Macaca fascicularis: one gene and its partners. The protein of the gene in region 3 interacts with the protein of the main gene of each other region in a pairwise test. Links are inferred from orthologs where the notes say so. Each region holds a gene or a part of one and is shown on either strand. Other genes may lie near its edges.

The links. The genes of interacting proteins can lie anywhere in the genome.
Region 1: the proteins of EGFR (region 3) and PRCC interact in a protein complementation assay, tested with the Homo sapiens proteins (2 studies listed by BioGRID and IntAct). The link is inferred for Macaca fascicularis from reciprocal best matches to the Homo sapiens genes EGFR and PRCC.
Region 2: the proteins of EGFR (region 3) and NTRK2 interact in a protein complementation assay, tested with the Homo sapiens proteins (3 studies listed by BioGRID and IntAct, with this or other methods). The link is inferred for Macaca fascicularis from reciprocal best matches to the Homo sapiens genes EGFR and NTRK2.
Region 4: the proteins of EGFR (region 3) and ITGB2 interact in a protein complementation assay, tested with the Homo sapiens proteins (3 studies listed by BioGRID and IntAct, with this or other methods). The link is inferred for Macaca fascicularis from reciprocal best matches to the Homo sapiens genes EGFR and ITGB2.

What each region holds. Positions count from the first base shown.
Region 1 is NC_088375.1:104,305,055-104,310,315, forward strand, and holds the start of PRCC (proline-rich protein PRCC), read right to left. Parts: upstream 3,511-5,261; 5' UTR 3,274-3,510; coding exon 2,806-3,273; intron 1-2,805. UniProt on the Homo sapiens protein: May regulate cell cycle progression through interaction with MAD2L2.
Region 2 is NC_088389.1:115,291,564-115,296,515, reverse strand, and holds the start of NTRK2 (BDNF/NT-3 growth factors receptor), read right to left. Parts: upstream 3,511-4,952; 5' UTR 3,247-3,510; intron 2,732-3,246; exon of another isoform or gene 2,699-2,731; 5' UTR 2,610-2,698; intron 2,257-2,609; exon of another isoform or gene 1,802-2,256; intron 1,647-1,801; 5' UTR 1,271-1,646; coding exon 1,059-1,270; intron 1-1,058. UniProt on the Homo sapiens protein: Receptor tyrosine kinase involved in the development and the maturation of the central and the peripheral nervous systems through regulation of neuron survival, proliferation, migration, differentiation, and synapse formation and plasticity.
Region 3 is NC_088377.1:75,385,636-75,390,689, reverse strand, and holds the start of EGFR (epidermal growth factor receptor), read left to right. Parts: upstream 1-1,679; 5' UTR 1,680-1,940; coding exon 1,941-2,028; intron 2,029-2,255; exon of another isoform or gene 2,256-2,864; intron 2,865-5,054. UniProt on the Homo sapiens protein: Receptor tyrosine kinase binding ligands of the EGF family and activating several signaling cascades to convert extracellular cues into appropriate cellular responses.
Region 4 is NC_088377.1:2,130,955-2,135,891, forward strand, and holds the start of ITGB2 (integrin beta-2), read left to right. Parts: upstream 1-1,427; 5' UTR 1,428-1,452; coding exon 1,453-1,529; intron 1,530-1,825; coding exon 1,826-1,916; intron 1,917-3,690; exon of another isoform or gene 3,691-3,849; intron 3,850-4,454; coding exon 4,455-4,515; intron 4,516-4,899; coding exon 4,900-4,937.

The sequences.
Region 1 (5,261 bases), on a different chromosome or scaffold from region 3:
TCCCCAACCTCCCAAGACTGGACTAATGCCCACTAGGTGTACTCCAATGGCACCAGCTTATCGCGGTCCTTCTCTGCCTTTATCTAAAATCTATTTCCTTCTGTTTTCTCCAGTAGATCATAAGCTCCTTTTGGGCTGGGGCTATCATGTTCACTACTGTACATTCTTAGCTCCAGGTACAAAGAAAGAGCTCAATATCAATTGAATGAAATAGCTGAGAGTTAATTACTTCTAATTACTTCTACTTCACCACCAAACTCTAAAGGGAAATTATTTACTTAAGGAAACCTAATTCATTCTTTCAACTGTGTACTAAGAGCCTACTAAGTGTAAGACATAGAGCTCAGAACTGGAGGGGCTTAGAACTGGAGGGGCACAGCTCTTTTAAAGACAATGGTTGGCTGGCGCGGTGGCTCACGCCTGTAATCCCAGCACTTTGGGAGGCCAAGGTGGTCAGATCACCTGAGGTCAGGAGTTCAAGACCTGCCTGACCAACAAGGAGAAACCCCAGTCTCTACCAAAAATACAAAATTAGCTGGGCGTGGTGGCGCACGCCTGTAATCCCAGGTACTCTACTCGGGAGGCTGAGGCAGGAGAATCGCTTGAACCCTGGAGGTGGAGGTTGCGGTGAGCCGAGATTGTGCCATTGCACTCCAGCCTGGGCAATGAGCGAAACTACATCTCAAAAGATAAATAAAGACAAAGGTTACCCTCACCTGACCATCTTGAACATTCTTAGGCTACCTTTCTGCAGGAATTACGTGTTCCAAGAACAAAAAGACCAACTTGAACAGAACAAAAATGGGAAACTCAACCAGCACGGGCTAGGACTTTAATTAGCCATGTCACTGTTCACTTCAGAAATTTAGTGAATGCTTACAAAGGAGGGAGTGTTAGGAGTCTTCAGAGTTTTCTGCCACCTCAGCCAACCTAAATGGCAGATTCTACATCCTCTCCCAACTTTCTATAATGCTGCCTTCACAGCGCTAGAAATGAGCCTTTCCATGTCCGTGTAGACTGTTTTTATTTGTCTCATTCAGGGATCTTTCCATGTTCCAGGTTAAATCAAAGCCAAGGTAAGTTTCCATGGAGCAATAAAAGGCTTTTTTTTGGATCCTAGACTTAGGATGACAGACTCTCAGGTGTGCAAGAAGCGGGAAATAAAATGGAAGAAAGTGACCAGGCGCGGTGGCTCACACCTGTAATCCCAGCACTTTAGGAGGCCAAGGCGGGTGGATCACGAGGTTGGGAGATCGAGACCATCCTGGCTAACACAGTGAAACCCCGTCTCTAATAAAAATAGAAAAAAATTAGCCGGGTGTGGCCGCAGGCGCTTGTAGTCCCAGCTACTGGGGAGGCTGAGGCAGGAGAATGGAGTGAACCCGGGAGGCGGAGCTTGCAGTGAGCCGAGATGGCGCCACTGCACTCCAGCCTGGGCGACAGAAGGAGACTCTGTCTCAAAAAAAAAAAAAAGGAAGAAAGTTTCCAACAAGATAGGGAGGGAAACTCTGCAACCTCCTTCCATGAAGAATCCATGTTGGAGTTCTTTCACTCATAAAACATCCATGGGAGTATTCAGTATGTGCCAGGCACTGTTGTAAGTACTAGGATTATAGCAGTGAACTTTTTTTGTTAATCCCTGTCTTCATGGAGTTTATATACTAGTGGGAGGATAGATAATGTTAAGTGCAATGGAGAAAAATAAAACAAAGAGCAATGGGGAGAAGGAGGTTATAGGAGGCTGCAATTTAAATAACAGGCTAGGGAAGTCCTCACAGAAAACAGGCCTTTTAGGCCAAGTGAGGTGAGGGAGAGAACATTAGGATATCTGAGGGAAGAAATTTAAGGAACAGCAGGTTCAAAGAATGAAGATGGCTCCTAGGCAGAGCTGGGAGTCTGAAGAAAAGCAAAGGCAATAAATTTCTCTCTGGTAAGTAATTCTAAGCAGTTCCTGCTCCCAGGCTTAATCTCTCCTTTATCTCCAAAGCCCTCACTCCAGAAGAAGCCTTGTATTTTTCCATTGTCACATACAGAAACAGGTAAGACTCACTGCCTCTTCTAGAAACAGTACCCAAGCATCCTAATTCACCTAGCTTTGACCATGGCTAAATGGTGAAAATGAGGCACAGATCTGAGGTTCAGAGAGACTGAACCTTAATCTTCACTCTGCCCTTTGCCAGGTAAAATCGTGCATGCTGGACACCTGTTTCTCATCTGTAAAACAATAGTATGTTACCTCCCAGAGCTCTGTAATAATTGAAAGAAAGGACCAATGAACGGCAAACGATCTGCACTCAACAAACATTCGATTTCTCCTCTAACTCCCCTCAAAAATAGAATCCAAGATTACTATCATTCTCCTCCAGGCCTGATGTTTTTGAGTTCAGAGGCAAGGAAAAGATTTGTCCCAGATGTTCGGCAAAGGTTCAGGAGCCCTGTCTCCTGTCATTCCTCAGGTGCCAGATTTCATCCTGTTCTCAGTAGGAGGAAAGGGGAAAAAGCTGGACTGAGGTGAAGATGCAGAGGGGGAGCGGATCCAAGTGTCCCTAGGCCTGTCAGTACCAGGTGATGATGACATGTGACCTTCTGCAGGCAAGCCCAGCTTCAGGAAACCCACATGGGCAAACACCCAAACTCCCCGAAGTTGACCAACTTCAGCTCAATTAATCACATTATAAGAGGATTCCAGTGGCCTTGAATCCACGGATGTGTTTGTGGGAAGGAGTTCCGAAATCGCCACATGTCCCTCCTACCGCCGACTCAAACCCGATGGACAGTTTGGGGGTGCCTTCCCCGGATACTCACATCTCCCTTATGCAACTCCGGCGCCGCGATCTTCACGGGCTCTTTCCTCTTCTTTGGCTTGGGAAGCCCCAGCGGGGGGCCGGCACCGCCAATTGGAGGGGGCAGACTGAGGCCAGGGCCTCGGGGCGAGGGCAACCCCAATCCCAGTCCCTCCCCAACTCCCGCCGCTTCAGCCGGGCTCACGCCTGGAGGTGGGGGGAAGCCTCCCAGGCCGAAGGGCAAGGGGGGAGGAGGCTGAAGCCTGGGGTCTGCGGTGGGTGGGGGAAGCAACAGCGGCGGGGGAAACGCTGGGGCCAGCATCTGAGGGGGCGGAGGCAGCAAGGCCGGGCCCTTGGGCGCAGGGAGAGAAGCGAACAAGCCCCCTAAAGCGGGCCCAGATGTAGGGGCCACCGCCTCCTCTTCCTCCGGCTCGGGCTCAGCCTCATCCGGCTCGCTCTCATCGCTGCTGGCGTAAGCAACCAGCGACATGGCGCCTCCCGCGTTTGGGGCGCCCTTGCCGGCAGATGAGGCCTACTTGAGACCGGGGATGCCCGGAGGCCTAGTAGGCCCCGCCACCTGGCGGGGCGGGGAATCGAAAAGTCCGCCTGCTCCGTACTCTAGGGCAAGCCGCGGCAGAAGCTCATGGCTACGGCTGATTTCCACCGAATAAGGCGTCCCTCTTCACTTAAGCTCCTAGTCCCGGGCAACTACACACAGCTAATGGCCGCCGAGTCACTCCGCCTCCTCCTTGCCTCACCAATAGAGGAACTACAACTCCCAGAGAACACTTTGGACACAGCCCGATTCTTTGTCGCAGGGATCTCAGCGCAAGACACGGCGGGAGTTGAAGTCCGAGGAAGGATTTAGGCGAGAGCAGAGAGAGACAGAAGAGAAACCCGCCTCTGACGCAGGGACACTTGGGGTGAGTAGTTTTTTTCGTCCCCTAACAATTCCGAGGTGACTACAAGCCCCACCGGTCACCACGGCAGTCACCGAGCCGGATAAGAGAGCATTTCGGTACTTGAAGTTCCCTAGGGTAGCCCCTTGGCCACTAAGATTTCTGGGAGATGTGGTGCTCTTAGAGACTGCAAGTGATGTCGGGAACGAAAGGGAGTCTGGGAAGCTGGCGGATTAGGGAAAATTGCTTAAAGGGAAAGTGATCTGTAAATGAACTGGTGACGCTTCCCCGTCGGCTGGGGCTGGGAATTAGAATAAAACATCCCAAAAAGAGCAAGGGCCCAAGGGACCCGTACGAAATTGGGCTGCAAGCCAGAAAGAAGCGAGGCTGCAGGCCTAATAATAAGTATCTAAGATTTGAAATAAATGTGATGTAAGAAGGAGGAGGTGATCTCCCTCACCAGGATTGGGGTGCACATCCAGGAGCACACCTTACCCTGGAGCCTGGGGCCTGGCCTCCCTCTGCAGCAACCAGTGAGACAAAGATGGGCAAGGCCCTGGCAGCCCCGGCCAGGTACTTGAAGTTAATCCCTTCTCAGCTCAGTGGGGTAAAGGGCTACCGTTCTGAGGAATCACTTGAGTCCGTCCTACCTGGGTGTGCCTCCCATCTATCCATTTGCAGGGGTCCTTTGCATTCCTTTACGTCTGTGAGTTTTGTCTCTTATGGCTTTGGGTGTGACCTTGTTACATCTGTCTCTTCCTTTCCATCCATGTTTATAGGTGTCCTTTTCCAGCCCATTTATGTCTGCTTGTAATGATCTGCTGTGCGCCTGTCCTTCCCTGTCCGCTTGTCATTTTGTACCCTTTTCTTGTTTACTCATCTCTGCCCCTTCCTGTCTGCCTGTGACTGAGTGCCCTCTACTTGTCTGCCCTGTATGTGTGTGTCCTTTAAATGCTAATCCATCTCTGTGTGGGCACCATCTCCCTGTTCCCAGATTGCAGAAAATTATATTAAGCAAAGTCAGAGAAAAGGCTGTTGAAGTTTTGGGAGGAGGCTGAAGAGAACATTGGAAAGATTGATGAGGAAGGACAATGATGACCACAATGCAGAGAGATAGTGAAAGGCCCAAGCTTGAATCCTCTTATCAGAGGAGCCAGATATGGGGCCCCTCCTCCCCAGTCTCTCCAGCCTTCAGAGACAAACTCCATGCTGCCTTCTCCATGAAGGCCCCTTAGAGCTATCTCCTCCCTGCTCTGGATGCCAGAGCATTTTTGTGTGTGTGTGCACCTGTGCTCAAACTTTAATGTGCATAAGCATCACTAGGAAAGCTTCTGAAAAATAAAAATTCCTGAAATCTAGCCTAAGAGATTCCTATTCAGTAGATGTGGGTGGGGCCTGGAAGCCTGGATCTGTAAGAAACTCCTCAGTTGGTTGCAAACCAGGCACTGAGGACCACATTGAGAAACTAGACCATCAAGTCCTACCTCACAGCTAGTATGCCTTGCACAATGCTGATTTCTAAAACCTGCTTTTAAATCTAGGTTCCCTAACGTACTCTGGTGACTTTGTGCCGTCACTT
Region 2 (4,952 bases), on a different chromosome or scaffold from region 3:
AAGGAAAACTGGGAGAAACTTTGCCTTACAATCTTGCACATATATGAATAAAATCTCATGTTAATGAGATGTATGGAATGACAGCATCCTTAAGGAAAAAATAACAATAACAGCCCAGTAGAGGTGACACAGGAATGCTAGAGAAAGGACTGGCAAGTTCTTGCTTGGTAATGTGTTTGTCACAAAGCATCAGAAAAGGAGAAAAGAAATACACAGTTCTGTTTCTTCAAGCCACAACAAGCTCAAACATTTCCAGGGATACAGGGGTCCAATGCTTAAGCCAGCATTCATCAGAGTTCTACCCACTACTTTATCATCCAGCCTAGTCCTGGGAAATTATTCAATGGGCAATTAAGAGTTATAATCCAAGTGGTCTCAAAATCATATCTCTGGGAAGTCAAGTCCAAATTAAATCAAACCAGGCTTTTAGGCTTCCAACGATCACATTTTTTTCTTTTGAGCGAGTGCATTTCAACACTCAGAACTTCTCCTCTTACAGATCATTTTCAAGGCCATCTCTGGATGCCATCTCCTAAGCAAAATCTGATATATAAAATGAAAAGGGAAAGTGGTTAACTCAAACCTCAAAAAAGATGTTAAGGGAGAGACTGTCACTTCCTTCAACAGATTCGGGAAAGTTAATTATTTTAACCTCTTTTCTAGTGAATATTAATGGAACTTCTAACACAACATACACACAGCACTTTATGAAACAAAAATGCCCAAAACTAAGTTAGTGCATGCGGAAAGCCTAAAGCACACCCAGCAGAGCTTTGAAATATAAAAAGCATAGTGAGTTCCTTCCCACGAGGAATACATATATAATCGGCATATGTATATCTATATTTAAAACTTATCCTAAAGTGTCACACTTCTCCTGCACTGGCAGTCCCAAGCCAGTGAAACAGACAGGTAACTGACAGATGGCCCTGTCTTGCATCTCTTGTCTCTGACTTCTCCCCACTCTTGAGACAGCATTCACTTTCAGGACCTACCCATCTGGCCAGCCCGGGCCCTAGGGGCAAGGCGAAAAAAGAGGAAAAGCTCCAGGAACTCACATTTCGGTGATGTTCTCAGGATCTACACTGTTAGGTTCCAACCTTGGAAATGCCACGATGCCAGGAGAAGGGTCGCTGCACCAGATCCGAGAGGCACTGCATTTGCAGGACGTGGGACAAGCGAGAGCGGCCCTCCAGAAACCCACAACCAGCCAGCAGAAGCCCCAAAGCCGCGCCATGGCGGGTCCATGCCACCTTATCCAGGACGACATCCCTAGCAGCCAGTGCCAGCCCGAGTGAGTGTCCCCACGCTGCACCGGCCGGTTTCCCCGACCTGTGCGGGGAGGCCTTCCCCGCGCTTGCGGCTCTCTTGACTCCTCGGTGCTTGCTTGCTGCGGGCGCGCGGAGTCCAGCGTATCACAGGCTGAGCTGGTCCGGAGCGGAGCGTATTCCGGCAGGCGGCAGGGTTCACAGTGGCCCCGGCATCGTGAACCGCTTTACAGGGGGGTGCTACCGCCGCTCGGAGCTCCGCCGCGGCCGTTGCTGCATGGCCCGGGGCGCCGGGCACCGACCGGCGGCGCTCCCGGGACTCTCTGGGGTGCAGGCTCCTTATTAGACGCGAATGGGGGTCCGGTATGCACCTCGAGGCTGAGGACAAACAGATACGCGTAAGACTGAGTGTAGGACCCCCAACACCACTAATTGGAGCACTCTCCCTCTGCGCTCGCATCATCCCCACCCCGATCCCAGCCGGGAGACTGTGGATGGATGAGTGCCCAGCTCCAGCCCAGGAATCAACTTGCCCCGCGATGGCACTGACGCCGCTGGAGCCACCAGTGTGCCCACTCTCTCTTCGAGCCTGAGGCCAAGGGAGGGGAGGTAGGGAAAGGGTCCCCGAGACAGGATTCCATGGTACAGGCCGGGCGAAGGACCCTTTAAAGGGGAATGCGGAGACTGCCGGCAGCTTTGGCTCCGCGACGGGGGCCCCGAATGATGCTGCAGAATCCGCCACAGCCGCTGGGTGCCGGTGGCGCGGGCAGGTGGCGCGGCACGTCCCACCTGGGGAGTAGCCGAGGCCGCCCCAGGGGGAGACAGGGAGGGCCGAGGCGACCGAGGGCACTGTCTGCGCTGCTCACCCGGGCTCCGGCGCCTCACGCCCGCCGGCGGCGCCTGGGTCCAGGATCCTGCTGCCGCCGGGGACTGAGCGCGTAGAGCGCGAGCGAAGCAACCAGCGAGGCTCCTGCTCCAACCCAATTCCGGGAGCCGCCGCCGCCGCCTCTGCTACTGCTGGCGAAGTGACGTGAGGGCTGACGCAGAGCAGGGGCAGAAACTCCAGAAAATTAGTCTGAAATCCAAAAACACACACGCGCTCATACACACACAAACCCATAACACCCTCCAGACAAAAGCACCAGGGAGGGGAGGGGAATCTGGGGGCGAGCAGGGAGGAGGGAGGCATCAGTGCCACTGGCCAGAAGCAGACAGCAGCAGCATGTGGGAGTGCACACACGCGCGCACACACGCACGCACACACGCACACATCCTGGCCGTGTAGACACGCGCGCGCGTGCCTCTGTGTGTGTGTGTGTGTGTGAATTTACATCCAGGTACCTCTGAGATGAACCGTTCCTCCGTTTGACGCCTCCCGGTCCCTAATTCACACCACAGTCTCTTCTACAATCGCGGTAGAGGCTGGCTCGCTTTTTGAAATGGAAACCGTGCTTGGTTCAGCTCTGAAAAATGCGCTGATTCTTATTATAGGAATCCTCCCTCCCTTCTCCCTCCCCGCGTTCTCCTTTCCCACCCTGCCTAAAAGGGAGGGCAAGCTATCCTAAAAATAAATAAATGTTGTAAACACCAAAACGTGTTCTGCATTGGTAACCAAGGATCACCGCCCCCATTCCGGGCCACCTATTTGGGGATCGGTGGTTTTGGAGGGGCTTCCTGTTGGTGCTTTTGCAGAGGGAAGGGAGTCTCCAAACACAATTCTAGCTCTCTAAGTGGGTCTTTTTCCTGCCGTTTTCTGCCATCACACGCCCGGGAAATAGAGACATGTGAGGGGAAGGGAGCGCGCCTGATGCGTATTCTAAATGCTCGGTGGCCACCCTGGCCTGTCCGATGTGTGGCGCCGCGTCATTTTCTCTCATCCTTTAACCTGTCGGGATGTAGCCATTCCCATATCGTAGCTTCACTCCCCGCGATGCCCACCCCATGCAGGGCATCCCAAGCCCTTGCTCCCCTGCCGTACCTTGCGCGTGTTCATGTGTGCGCGGGTGTGCGCGAACGCGTGCCCTGCGCCCGCGCTGCCCGGAGCACGATATGCATCCAGCTACGAAGAAGCCAGGCGCGGGCAGAGCCTCGGGGTCTCACTAGGGACAAATTAGGCGATCCGGGAGGGTCGGGTGACAAACCGTAATTGTTCTGCGGGCGCAGTTAAATGACGGCTGCGGGGCATTCGCAAGCCTTGTCTGAGAATCCGTCTTCCCTTTTGCGGCTCGGAATCTGTTTTTCCGCAGTCATTTAAAAGCGAACTGGGAAAATGCACCGCAGTGCCTGACACTTCCGAGGGCTCTGGTGCCCCCGCGCGGGGAGAGAGCGCCCGGCACGCTCCGGAGCACCAGCCCACCGCCACGGTCGCGGCGGGCACAGCGCTGGGGGCGCGCTCTGGCGCCAGATGCGCAACCAGCGGCGCCCGACGCCTGCGCGTCCCTGCCCGGCCAGTGAGCGGCTTGCCTGGCCTCGCCGAGGTCCGGCCCGGGGAAAAAGGCGGCCAATCCTCCGCTCCAGAGAGAGCAATGGGTTGGAGTCTCGTTCAAAATATAGTAACAGTCACTGATCTACCCGCAGAGGCTGGGGATGGGAAGGATCGAGAAACCGAACCTTAGAGTGAATGCTCGGATCTAGGCCAAGCATTAAATATTACGAAGGGAACGTAAAACATCTAGTGGGGCTTTTTTGTACAGATCCTGGGCGCTGAGTGTTACCGCGGGAATTCTTGGACAGCACCCAAAAATCTTGCTGCAGGTCCCGAAGGCAAGGCTAGCAGGTCTGTCTCACCACTGTCGCTCGGCTGTAACACACTTTGAGTGGTGAACGGCCAGGCTGAAGTTTACTCCTCAGCAGGGCCTCTCTCGATTTTCTGCTAGGTGAGGACGTGCCAAGGAAGAGAAGCAAGGGCAAAAATGACCTGGTCTCAGACGCACGTAAAACTCCGCCTGTCTTGTCAGTGCCCCTTAAGTGGAGAAGCCCCTGAGGAACACTTGGGGAAGGAAGGAGTGTGTGTGTGCATAATCACCCACATCTCTCTCACACTCCCATACTCTCAGCCCATTTTCCTAAGAAAGGGCCCATTTGCGCCCTAGTGGCTGCAGCATGTCTCAATGCGGTATGGAGAATAGGCAGTTTTACGGTGGTTTGTACACCACAAGATTCCAATTATGTTGGAATATCTGTAGAATTTCTATTAGAGTAAATATATGCTACTATTATAGTTGAATTCTAAATATATTCCACTGACTGTCTCCCACTTAAAATTAGGATTTGCGGTCCTACTTCTAATCACCCTACTTCTGCTCTACTATTTCAACCATAGCAGTTTGTCTTTTGGACAGATCATTTACTTATCATATATATATTTTAAATTTCTCCCAGTAGAATGTACACTCCATGAAGGCAGGGATTTTTGTCTATTTTGTTCATTGATATATCTCAAGGACATAGTAGGTGTTAAAATATATGTGTATTTTTAATGAATAAATAAAATAAAGTTGAGATCTTACTTTCTTAACCTCTAATTCTGCAAGAACCTGGATTATTCCCCCAGACACGCTCCTTCTCACCTTCAAAATTTCAAATCTTCCTTGTGTTCCGAGTGCTCATAGCACTGCTTAAAACCTTGCCTTACTTTCTGCCTCATTTAGTAGCCAGATATGCTTCAGCACCAGGCCAGAGAGG
Region 3 (5,054 bases):
TTTTGGTCACTCAAAGGAGAAATTCCTGTGCAGTCTTACAAATCAGTTGTAGCTTAAATTGATTTGTGTTGTGACTTGTGCACACAGGTCACATTCCCTTGACAGAAAATATAGTTTAGAAACAAATTTGCGGCAGTTGTTAAGTGAATGCACAAGAGTTTATCATATTTAGGTCTTTTATTGTAAGACTCACTCCTGTCTTCATTTTATGTTCCACTGCTGTGCTTCGCATTTGCCTTTCTCTAGTTTTGTTTTCTGTCTCTGTGTTTCTATAGGGACTGCTCTCAGCCCAGGTGTGCAGGAAGCACACACGTGCCTGCAGAGCCTTCACCATCTCTGCATCCAGGGACTGACTTCAACGCACAGTGGCTGTACTGATCCGCTAAAACAAAGGAACAAATTACTTCTTCTAATTCACAGGGAAGTTCCAGGTTGTACGGGTGGTGAGGAGCCTTGTGTCTGTCTGCGCTTGCCCTGGTGAAAAACCCACCGTTCAGGCTGCAGGGTGTGAAACCCAGGCACAAACACTTCGCTGGATGCGGAGGAAAGATGCAAGGTTGCTCCCCTTCAGAGACAGCAAAGGGCAGATCTGTAGCTCTACTTACTTCAGGATTATGATTTTTGACAGAGCCGGGAGATCAGGGTTGTTGAACCAGGCCTGAAGGTCCTAGTGAATCTCGTGAAGAGAGGAGGGGTCTGACTGTAACATGGACCTAGAGGACATTCTTACTGCAGGAGAAGCAACAGTGGGGATGGGGTGGACTTGCCAAAGGAATGTAGCTCAAGTTCCTGCAGCCTAAAGCAGCTCAGTTTCTTTCGGCCAAACTTTCGCGAACTTCCCTGGCATTTCTCCTGCGGGAGCTACCGGTGCAGTGGGACACTTAGCCTCTCTAAAAGCATCTCCACAGCTGTTTGTGTCAAGCCTTTATTCCAAGAGCCTCACTTTTGCGAAGTAACGTGCTTCACACATTGGCTTCAAAGTACCCACGGCCGGTTGCAGTAAACATTGAGGAGGCCTGTCTCTGCGCCCAAAGTTGGGTGCCCTCATTTCAGACGATTTCTAGGGTGCTTCACGGGATCTGAAGGACCCTCGGACTTTAGAGCACCACCTCGGACGCCTGGCACCCCTGCAGCGCGGGCACAGCGACCTCCTCAGCTGCCAGGCCAGCCTCTGATCCCCGCGAGGGTCCCTGGGTGCTGCAGGGGAGGTGAGGACCAGAATAAAGGAGCAGTTTCCCCGTCGGTGCCATTATTCGACGCTGGCTCTAGGGCTCGGCCAGTCTGTCTAAAGCTGGTAGAAGTTTGTTCTGTAAAACAAAAGAAGGGAAAGGGGGAAGGGGACCCTGGCACAGATTTGGCTCGACCTCGACATAGGCTGGGCCTGCAAGTCTGCGGGGACCCAGTCCAGAGGGGCAGTGCTGGGAACGCCCCTCACGGAAATTAACTCCTCAGGGCACCCGCTCCCCTCCCGCGCGCCACCCCCTTCCCGCGGGAGACCAGGTCCCGCGGGGGTCACCGCTGTCCACCGCCTCCGGCGGCCGCTGGCCTTGGGTCCCCGCGGCTGGTTCTCCTCCCTCCTCCTCTCATTCTCCTCCTCCTCTGCTCCTCCCGATCCCTCCTCCGCCGCCTGGTCCCTCCTCCTCCCGCCCTGCCTCCCCGCGCCCCGGCCCGCGCGAGCTAGACGTCCGGGCAGCCCCCGGCGCAGCGCGGCCGCAGCAGCCTCCGCCCCCGGCACGGTGTGCGCGCCCGCCGCGGCCAAAGCGGCCGGAGTCCCGAGCTAGCCCCGGCGGCCGCCGCCGCCCAGACTGGACGACAGGCCACCTCGTCGGCGTCCGCCCGAGTCCCCGCCTCGCCGCTAACGCCACAACCACCGCGCACGGCCGCCTGACTCCGTCCACTATTGATCCGGAGAGCCGGAGCTTGCTCTTCGGGAAGCAGCTATGCGACCCTCCGGGACGGCCGGGGCCGCGCTCCTGGCGCTGCTGGCTGCGCTCTGCCCCGCGAGTCGGGCTCTGGAGGAAAAGAAAGGTAAGGGCGTGTCTCGCCGGCTCCCGCGCTGCCCCCGGATCGCGCCCCGGACCCCGCAGCCAGCCCAGCCGCGCACCGGCGCACCGGCTCGGCGCCCGCGCCCCCGCCCGTCCTTTCCTGTTTCCTTGAGATCAGCTGCGCCGCCGGCCGGGACCGCGGGAGGAACGGGACGTTTCGTTCTTGGGCCAGGAGAGTCTGGGGCGGGCGGGGGAGGAGACGCGTGGGGCACTGGGCTGCGGGCCGGCGGGGAAACGGCCGCCTGGACCTCCGGCGCCCCGAACCGCTCCCAACTTTCCACCCTCACTTTCCCCGCCCCGCTGCGCGGAATCGGCGTCAGTGGGCGAAAGCCCCGTGCGGGTGGGTGCCTGGGGCCGGGGTCCCGCACGTGCGCCCCGCGCTGTCTTCCCAGGGCGCGGCGGGGTCGCGGCGCGCACCCGAGGGACTGGCGCTGCCCACCCGCCGAGGCTGCGCTGTTTAGGGAAGCTGAGGAAGGACCCCGAAAATAAAGCCTCCCTTCGGACCCCGCGGGACAGGCGGCTTCCTGAGCGAACCTCCCTGCCTCCGCGCTCCGCGCAGGTCTCAAACTGAAGCCGGCGCCGGCCAGCCTGACCCCGGCCCCTCTCCAGGTCCCCGCGATCCTGGTTCCCAGGTGTGGAGTCGCAGCCTCAACCTGGGAGCTGGGAGAAGTCCGCCACCACCTGCGGCGCCTGGGAAGGGGTGGTGCTGGCGGCGGTGAGCTTCCTCGTTGGCAAAAGGCAGGTGGGGTCCGACCCGCCCCTTGGGCGCAGACCCCGGCCGCTCGCCTCACTCGGCGCGCCCTCGTCTTGCCGGTCCAGGTATGCCCCCCACCTCCTGGGGACCCGAGCTCCCTCCCGGGCGCCCGCGCAGAAAGGCCCGGGCTCTCGTTCGGTGGCCGCCTCGCGGGGACGTCCGGGTCTGCCCCACCTGCAGCCCTTCGGTCGCGCCTGGGCTTCGCGGTGGAGGGGGACGCGGCTGTCCGGCCACTGCTGGGGGGATCGCGGCCTCTAGTGCGGAAGCCCAGGAAGCAGAGCTCATCCTGGCCAGCACCACAGTGTTTCAAAATGGGGCTCACAGCAAACTTTTCTCCTCAAAACCCGGAGAGTTTCTTTCTTGGATGTTTCTTTTTGCTGTCTGAAGAATTTGACATTGAGCCAACCAAAATATTAAACCTGTCTTACACACACACACACACACACACACACACACCGGATTGATGTCCCTGGTTCAAGTGTGCCAAGTGTCCAGACAGAACATGAGCGAGTCTGGCTTCGTGACTACTGACCATAAACCCACTTGACACGGGAAACATGCCTCGGAAGGTTTAATTGCACAATTCCAACCTTGAGCTGCGCGGGTTCCAAGAGCCAGGCCCGTACTTGCTGTTGATGTCACTGGCATGGGGAGTTGGGGTTTGGTGCCCAGCGCGGTCGTTGGGGGAGGGGCAAGACATAGAACAGTGGTTCCCAGACCTTGCTGCACGTTAGAATTACCTGGGATTTAAAAAAAAAAATCAAAACAAAAACCAGTGTCTGAATCCCGCCCCCAGACATTCTGATTTAATTGGCATGGGGCAAGACCTGGACATGGGATTTTTTTTTTAATGCTTTTCATGTGATCTGTTGGGGAGCCAGGTTTGGGGATCACCGGACGGAAGAAGGATTGTTAAAGTCTCCGGAGAGATTACTTGCCAATGCAAAGAGCTCTTTGAGGACATCTGGAATTTTAACAATGTTGCCAAATATAGGAAAGAGGGAAAAGGTGGGGTGTGGTTCCAATAATAAAAGATTCCTCTTTTCATTGAAGGAACTGGTGGAAAGGTTTCTTCTCTGCTGAGCTTGCAGGGCCCCTCCTGCCTGCTTGGGGGCTGACTGTGGGTCCTGTTAGTCAGGTGTCAGCCCTGTCTCTGCTGAAGAGACTCTTCTCTTTATTTTAAATTAAACCCTCAGAGCACCTCCAAAGCATCACTTTTCTCCCTCCAGTGGGGTTCTCATTCTTTGATGTTACTTGCTTGAACACCACTGTTAGTGATTGGAGATTTGTTCCTGAGAAAAATATAAATACCACTTAATTTGCCTGTTTATCCTGTATTCACTCAAAACAGAAACTCCTGAAGACAGAGAGAGTAGGTGAACAGGCGCTATTCTGTTACAGTAACATAAAAGACTGAATTTTCAGGGGCAAATTATTAAAGTAGGAGATGAGCTCTTTTAACAGAAATTTGTTTGAGACCTGTGTCTATCAAATTCAGTCGATTTTATTCAAGATGCACTTCGTTTAGTAAGGGTTTTGTTTGGTTCTGGGACATGCTAACTTCTGGACTTGCTGCTCTTAGACGTAATGACTGCCAGACACCGTTTCATGCGTCCTAATCCCCACATTAAGCATAAGAGGTGTACACTCTCCTCCTATGGGGGAAACTGAGGTACAAAGAACTAAAGTGACTTTCCCACCGCTGGTAGGAGGCAGATGTAAAACTCACACCAGGGGCTTCCGACTCCAGATCCCTCTCTCAACTTCCAAACTCCACTGCCTTGTCCGAGTTCTGGTTTCAGGAGATCCAAATCAGGTGTGTGCAAACGTCTAATGACAGAGCTGGCAAGGGGAAAGGGCCCAGGGAGCCGGCTCATGAAGATAGGTCTGTCTGAAGCTTCAACGCGGGCTGTCCAGCAGTCTGCGTTCCTTCAGAGTTCCTCAGCCCTCTGTTCAGTCACCTTCCATGGAGACAGCTCCATCCCTAGGTCAGTGAGCATGGAGTGGAGACTGCTTGAGGGGCGCTAAGCAAAGCCCTGCCTCTTACAGAATGAAGGTGCTCTCCAGAAGGGACTCTGGAAAGTATTCCAAGGCGAGTCGGAATTCCCAACTGAGGGAGGTTTGTGGAAATAAGCCTGCCCAGCCCCACTTCTGGAGATGTTCCTATTCAGTACGTCCGAGCTGTCTTAAAGAGAAACCAAAGTGGGGATATCAATGGTATCCAAAGTGAGATCTACCACCCTTCCTCCTCAAAG
Region 4 (4,937 bases), about 73 Mb from region 3:
CCTGGAGCCTCTGTGATCCAAGAACAGCGTTCCAGCCCGCACCTGAATGGCTCTTCTCTCCAGTTCTTTATCATGTTCCTACGAAGCAGAGATGAGTCCATCTTGATGCTCTGGGTTTTGGCTTAGAAGGTGGATGCCTAGTTTGTAATCATCCCTTGAGCCTTCAGTTCCCTCCCACTTCCTCTTCCTTCCAACCTCGTCCCCCACCGGCATCGTCCATCGCTTCCTGTGTACCTCCGAGTCACTTTGATGTGAGCGTGTCTCCTCTAAGAAGCATAAAGTGGGTTTTATTCCCTGACCCCAGCACAGGCAGGAGCAAGCTCTGATGCAAAGTTCTAATGGGTCTGTGGGGCCTCTGGCTTCTCAGGCAGTCTCATCTTAGGGTTTTACGGGGTTGCAAAAAGGAAGCCTGACCCTGCTGATTCCTCTCCCAGCATAGGCTCTGCCCTCTCTCTGCTGTCTCACTTTAAAGTTTCTTTTCTTTTCTTTTTTTTTTTTTTTTTTTTTTTTTGAGACAGAGTCTCGCTTAGTCGCCCAGGCTGGAGTGCAGTGGCGCGATCTCGGCTCACTGCAAGCTCCGCCTCCCGGGTTCACGCCATTCTCCTGCCTCAGCCTCCCGAGTAGCTGGGACTACAGGCGCCCGCCACCGCGCCCGGCTAATTTTTTTGCATTTTTAGTAGAGACGGGGTTTCACAGTGTTAGCCAGGATGGTCTCGATCTCCTGACCTTGTGATCCGCCCGCCTCAGCCTCCCAAAGTGCTGGGATTACAGGCGTGAGCCACCGCGTCCGGCCTTCTTTTCTTTTTTGAGACAGAGCCTCCTTCTGTCACCCAAGCTGGAGTTCAGTAGTGCCATTAAGCTCACTGCAGCCTCCCCATCCTGGGCTCCAGTGATCCTCCCGCCTCAGCCTCCCGAGTAGCTAGGACTAGAGATGCATACCACCATGTATGGCTAGCTTATTTTCTATTTTTATTTTTCGTAGAGATAGGGGTCTCACTATGTTGCCCAGGCTGCTCTCAAACTCCTGGCCTCAAGTGATCCTCCTGCCTTGGCCTCCCAAAACACTGGGATTGCAGGCATCAGCCACCACGCCGGCCTGTTCGTTTCCCGTGTTTGCTCCTGTTCTCCTGTCTTTGACTTCTGTGAAAGGGTGCGTGTGATTTGGCCTGGATCTGCTGCAGGTCTCTTCCGACGCCGCTTTTGTGTCTCAGAGCCGGAATGTTCAGAGCTTTGCTCGCCGTGAAGTAGGGTTCATCTGGTGCCCGGGAGGGAAGGGCGCCCGGCCCCCGAGGGGTTCTCCGGGGAAAGATGACCCCATCCCCCGGGTCCCGCCCCTCAGCCCCCCGCTTCCCCTGTGCAGGGGACTTGGTGACAGATACCACTTCCTGCAGCTGGGCTGGGGTTGCACCAGCACTTCCCTCTCGGGCAGGGTTGAGGTCAAGGGCGACTCTGATGCAAGGTTCTGAGAGGCCCGTGGGGCTGTGGATTCCTGAGCAGCCTCAGCTTTGGGTTTTGCACCTTAGGTCTTGGTAAGGGGACCCGCCTGCCCTTAGACATGGGAAGTCCAGGAGCTGGAGGACGAGGAGGGCGCCCGCCCCCAGTGTGGGGCAGCAGGGAGGGCAGCAGGGTCATCAGGCTCCAGGCTGGAGCTCTGGGGCCTGCTCGGGGGGGGGTGCGGGACGGGGGGTTCTGTGCTCTTCCTCCCTGCTTGCCCTGCAGCTCTGTCGGCTTAGCTTCAGGGCACCAGAGGTGACAGTGGCCAGGTACCTGCCTGTTTGCCTGAATGCTGTCCTACATCTGTGCCTTACCCATTCCCGTCCCCCAGGGAGCTGGCACAGGCCCTTCGACCACCTCCAGGCACACGGAGGAAACGGACGCAGAGAGGCCAGATGCGGTCTTGGTTTCTTAGGCCTCAGGTGAGGCCCTGGACCTCCGTGGGCCATCCTGGCTACTGGGTGGAGGGGCTGCCCTGCCCTGTTCTCCCACAGAAGGGAGGCCGGCTGCCAGGCTCAGTGCACTGCCTTACCTCCCGGAGCCGACCTTCGTCCCCAGCTGTTTGTCTGGGCTCAGCCACTGGCATCGGGGGGTGGGGCAGGGCCTGGCTTCTCTTATGCCCCCAGCTCCGAGCCCCCCAGGGCTGTTCATGGAGGAGCAACAGTGGGGAGAGGTTGGCTCCCCGCCCGCCCCCTTGCTGTGGTCATGGTCAGGGCACTGTGGTCTCTGAGCCAATCCTGCTGGAATCAATGTGCACCCCATCTCCCTAGGGGCAGGGGTTTTGCTCAGGGTAACTGGGCTCCAGGTCCATATCTTGCTGCTGCTGGGGGCCTCAATTTCCCCATCTGAGGGTACAAAGTGTTTGCATGCCGCTGGTCATGACTGTGTTAGGGGCGGAGATATCAAGTCTGCGGCCCCAGGGAAAGCGTGGAGCTGGGGTGTGGGTCCTTACCAGCCTGGCTGAGGCTGCCGGGGGAAGGCTGCACCCCCTCCCCACTTGGCACAGCTGCGAACTGGGGGTGTCCTGAGGCCAGCTGGACCCTGCACCCTGGGGTGGCTCCAGCATGCACAGGGTCTCCGGTCAGCTGAGGGGTTGGTGGGCACTCATGGCACCGAGGTCTGTCCAGGCGCGGGACTTTGGGGGGGCGCAGATGGAGAGCTGGAACTGGCCTTGGCCTGAACCACAACCCCCAAGGATCAGAGACACAGGGGCTTTCAGACACAGGGTAGGCCCGGTGTGAACCCAAACCACCTCCTCCAGGAAGTTAGAGCAGGTGCAGGTTCTGTTTTTGACCCCAGAATGGGAAGGATCAAGGGTTCCCTTTTGACATTTTGGAATTCTGACTGTAATTTTGCTGGGAACCAGGAAACGAGGTCACCTCCAAAACGACAGGACCTTGGGGCTGGTTGGGGCCTCTAAGCTGTGGGATGCTCAGATGGGCCCGGGTGGGTGTTCCGTCGGCCTCAGAGCCCCCGGCACAGGTGCAGGGGTTTTGGGGGATGGAGGGGAACCAGGGCCTGTGGCTGAGGGCACCCAAGCCTCCCCGGCCACAGCACAGCACCCAGCACTGTCTTCAAAGTGAGCAGGCCCTAGTTTGGGGTTCTGCTGGCTTGGGTCTGCCCACTGAACCTTGGGTGACCCTGCCAGCACCACCCGAGGGCAGTGGGTGGGACAGAAACGCCCCAGACGCCTGGGAGGCCGCGAGAGGAACCGGCGTTTGCTGGGGGAGGTGTGTTCATCTTTGCTTCTGATAACAGCCCCAGGGTAACAGAAGCGTCTTCCTGCCCACTATGGCAGGAAGGCTCCTGGGTACCCCTTCTCAGAACCTCTCCACCTCTTGGTGCCAGATAAAAGGGTCCCAGCGAGGACCCAACGTTCTCAGGTCCTGGAGGTCAGACCCAGAGGCCCACCCCACCTAGGAAGCCCTAAGACCTCCCAAGGAGCCGACCTAGGGCTGCTTTGGGCACCTCCAGGATGGAGGGAAGGGAGCCCAGGCTGAGGCCTGGTTCTGTCATTTTGCCTCTGGGGCCGAGGGCCTGTGAGTGACCACAGAGCTGCCCCAGCTGTGGATGACTGGGTTAAGGACGGGGTGGGTGTGTATCTGGAAACAAAAGGGCAAGAGCCCGGCAGCTGGTGGCTTGGGCAAGTCAGGTGACTTTTTTTCCCACCTGGCAGGGACCGCAAGGCTCCTGGGCAGGCCTTGCACACAGCCTGGCACTCGCGGACATCAAGCCAGCTTTCTCTTCCTGGCCCTGTTTCTGCCACAGAGAGACAGGGCAAGCCCGGCTCTGCTCCAAGCACAGGCTCTGCTCACGGAGGACTTGGGGTGCACAGGGGCAGAGTGCACACACCGGGTGTGTGGGGTTGTGGTGTGCGTGTGCGTGCACATTTGCACGTGTGTATGGTATGTGTGTGTGGTGTGTGTGCCTGTGTGGTGTGTGCGTGTGTGTACGTGTGCATGTATATTTGTGTGTGGTGTGTAGTGTCTTGTGGGGAGTACGGTGTGGGTAAGGGGTGTATACATCTCTCTGTGTACATATGTGTGGCGTGACACATACATGTGTATGTGTGGTGTGTGCGTGCATGTGGTGTGTACATGCGGTTAGGCATGCATCTGTATGCGTGTACACGTGCATGTGTGGTGTGTGGTGTGTGGTGTGTGTATTGTCTGCATGTGTGTGTGCCTGTGTTGTGTGTCTCTGCAGGGACCTGCTGCAGCTGTCCTGGGTGCCTGGCTGCTGAGCAGGTGTGCTGCCCGCACTGCTGGGCCCGACCTCCCTCCCTCCCTGGCTATTGGAAGCTGGGCCCAGCGCAGCTGTGCTGGCCTGACTCTAACCCACCCCTGCAGGGGGGACAGGAACCCAGCTCCTTGTCCCAGGCCAGCTGGAGGCGGGCTTTGTGGGTGGTCAGCCCCAGGGGCTGGGCCTGAGACCGTCACCAAAACCCCTTCCCTCCACAGGACATGCTGGGCCTGCGCCCCGCTCTGCTCGCCCTGGTGGGGCTGCTCTCCCTCGGGTGTGGTGAGTTCTGTGTTCCACGGAGGGGACTCCACACGTGACATTCCGGTCAGGGAGAGCAGGGCCTGCCCTCATGTTCCCACAGATAGAAGTTCCCGGGAGGCTGGGGAAGGATCATGCCCCTGGGGGCAGGTCGGGGACTCAGGCCTCGTCCCCCCACACGCCAGGAAGCTGTGGCTGTGCTGTTTCCCCAGGGCCCCCCTCTGCACCTGGGGGTGGTGGCTGATGCGGGGTCTCCTGGAGGCTGCCTCCCTGTCTCTCTGGGCCTCCTCTGACCCTCCTGCTCTACTCCCCCTTGGGTGCGGGCCTGTGGTCACTCACAGGCCCCCTTGGGTGTGGGCCAGGGCGGCCCAGAGCACCCACTCACCTGCCGGCCTCGTCCCTCAGTCCTCTCTCAGGAGTGCACGAAGTTCAAGGTCAGCAGC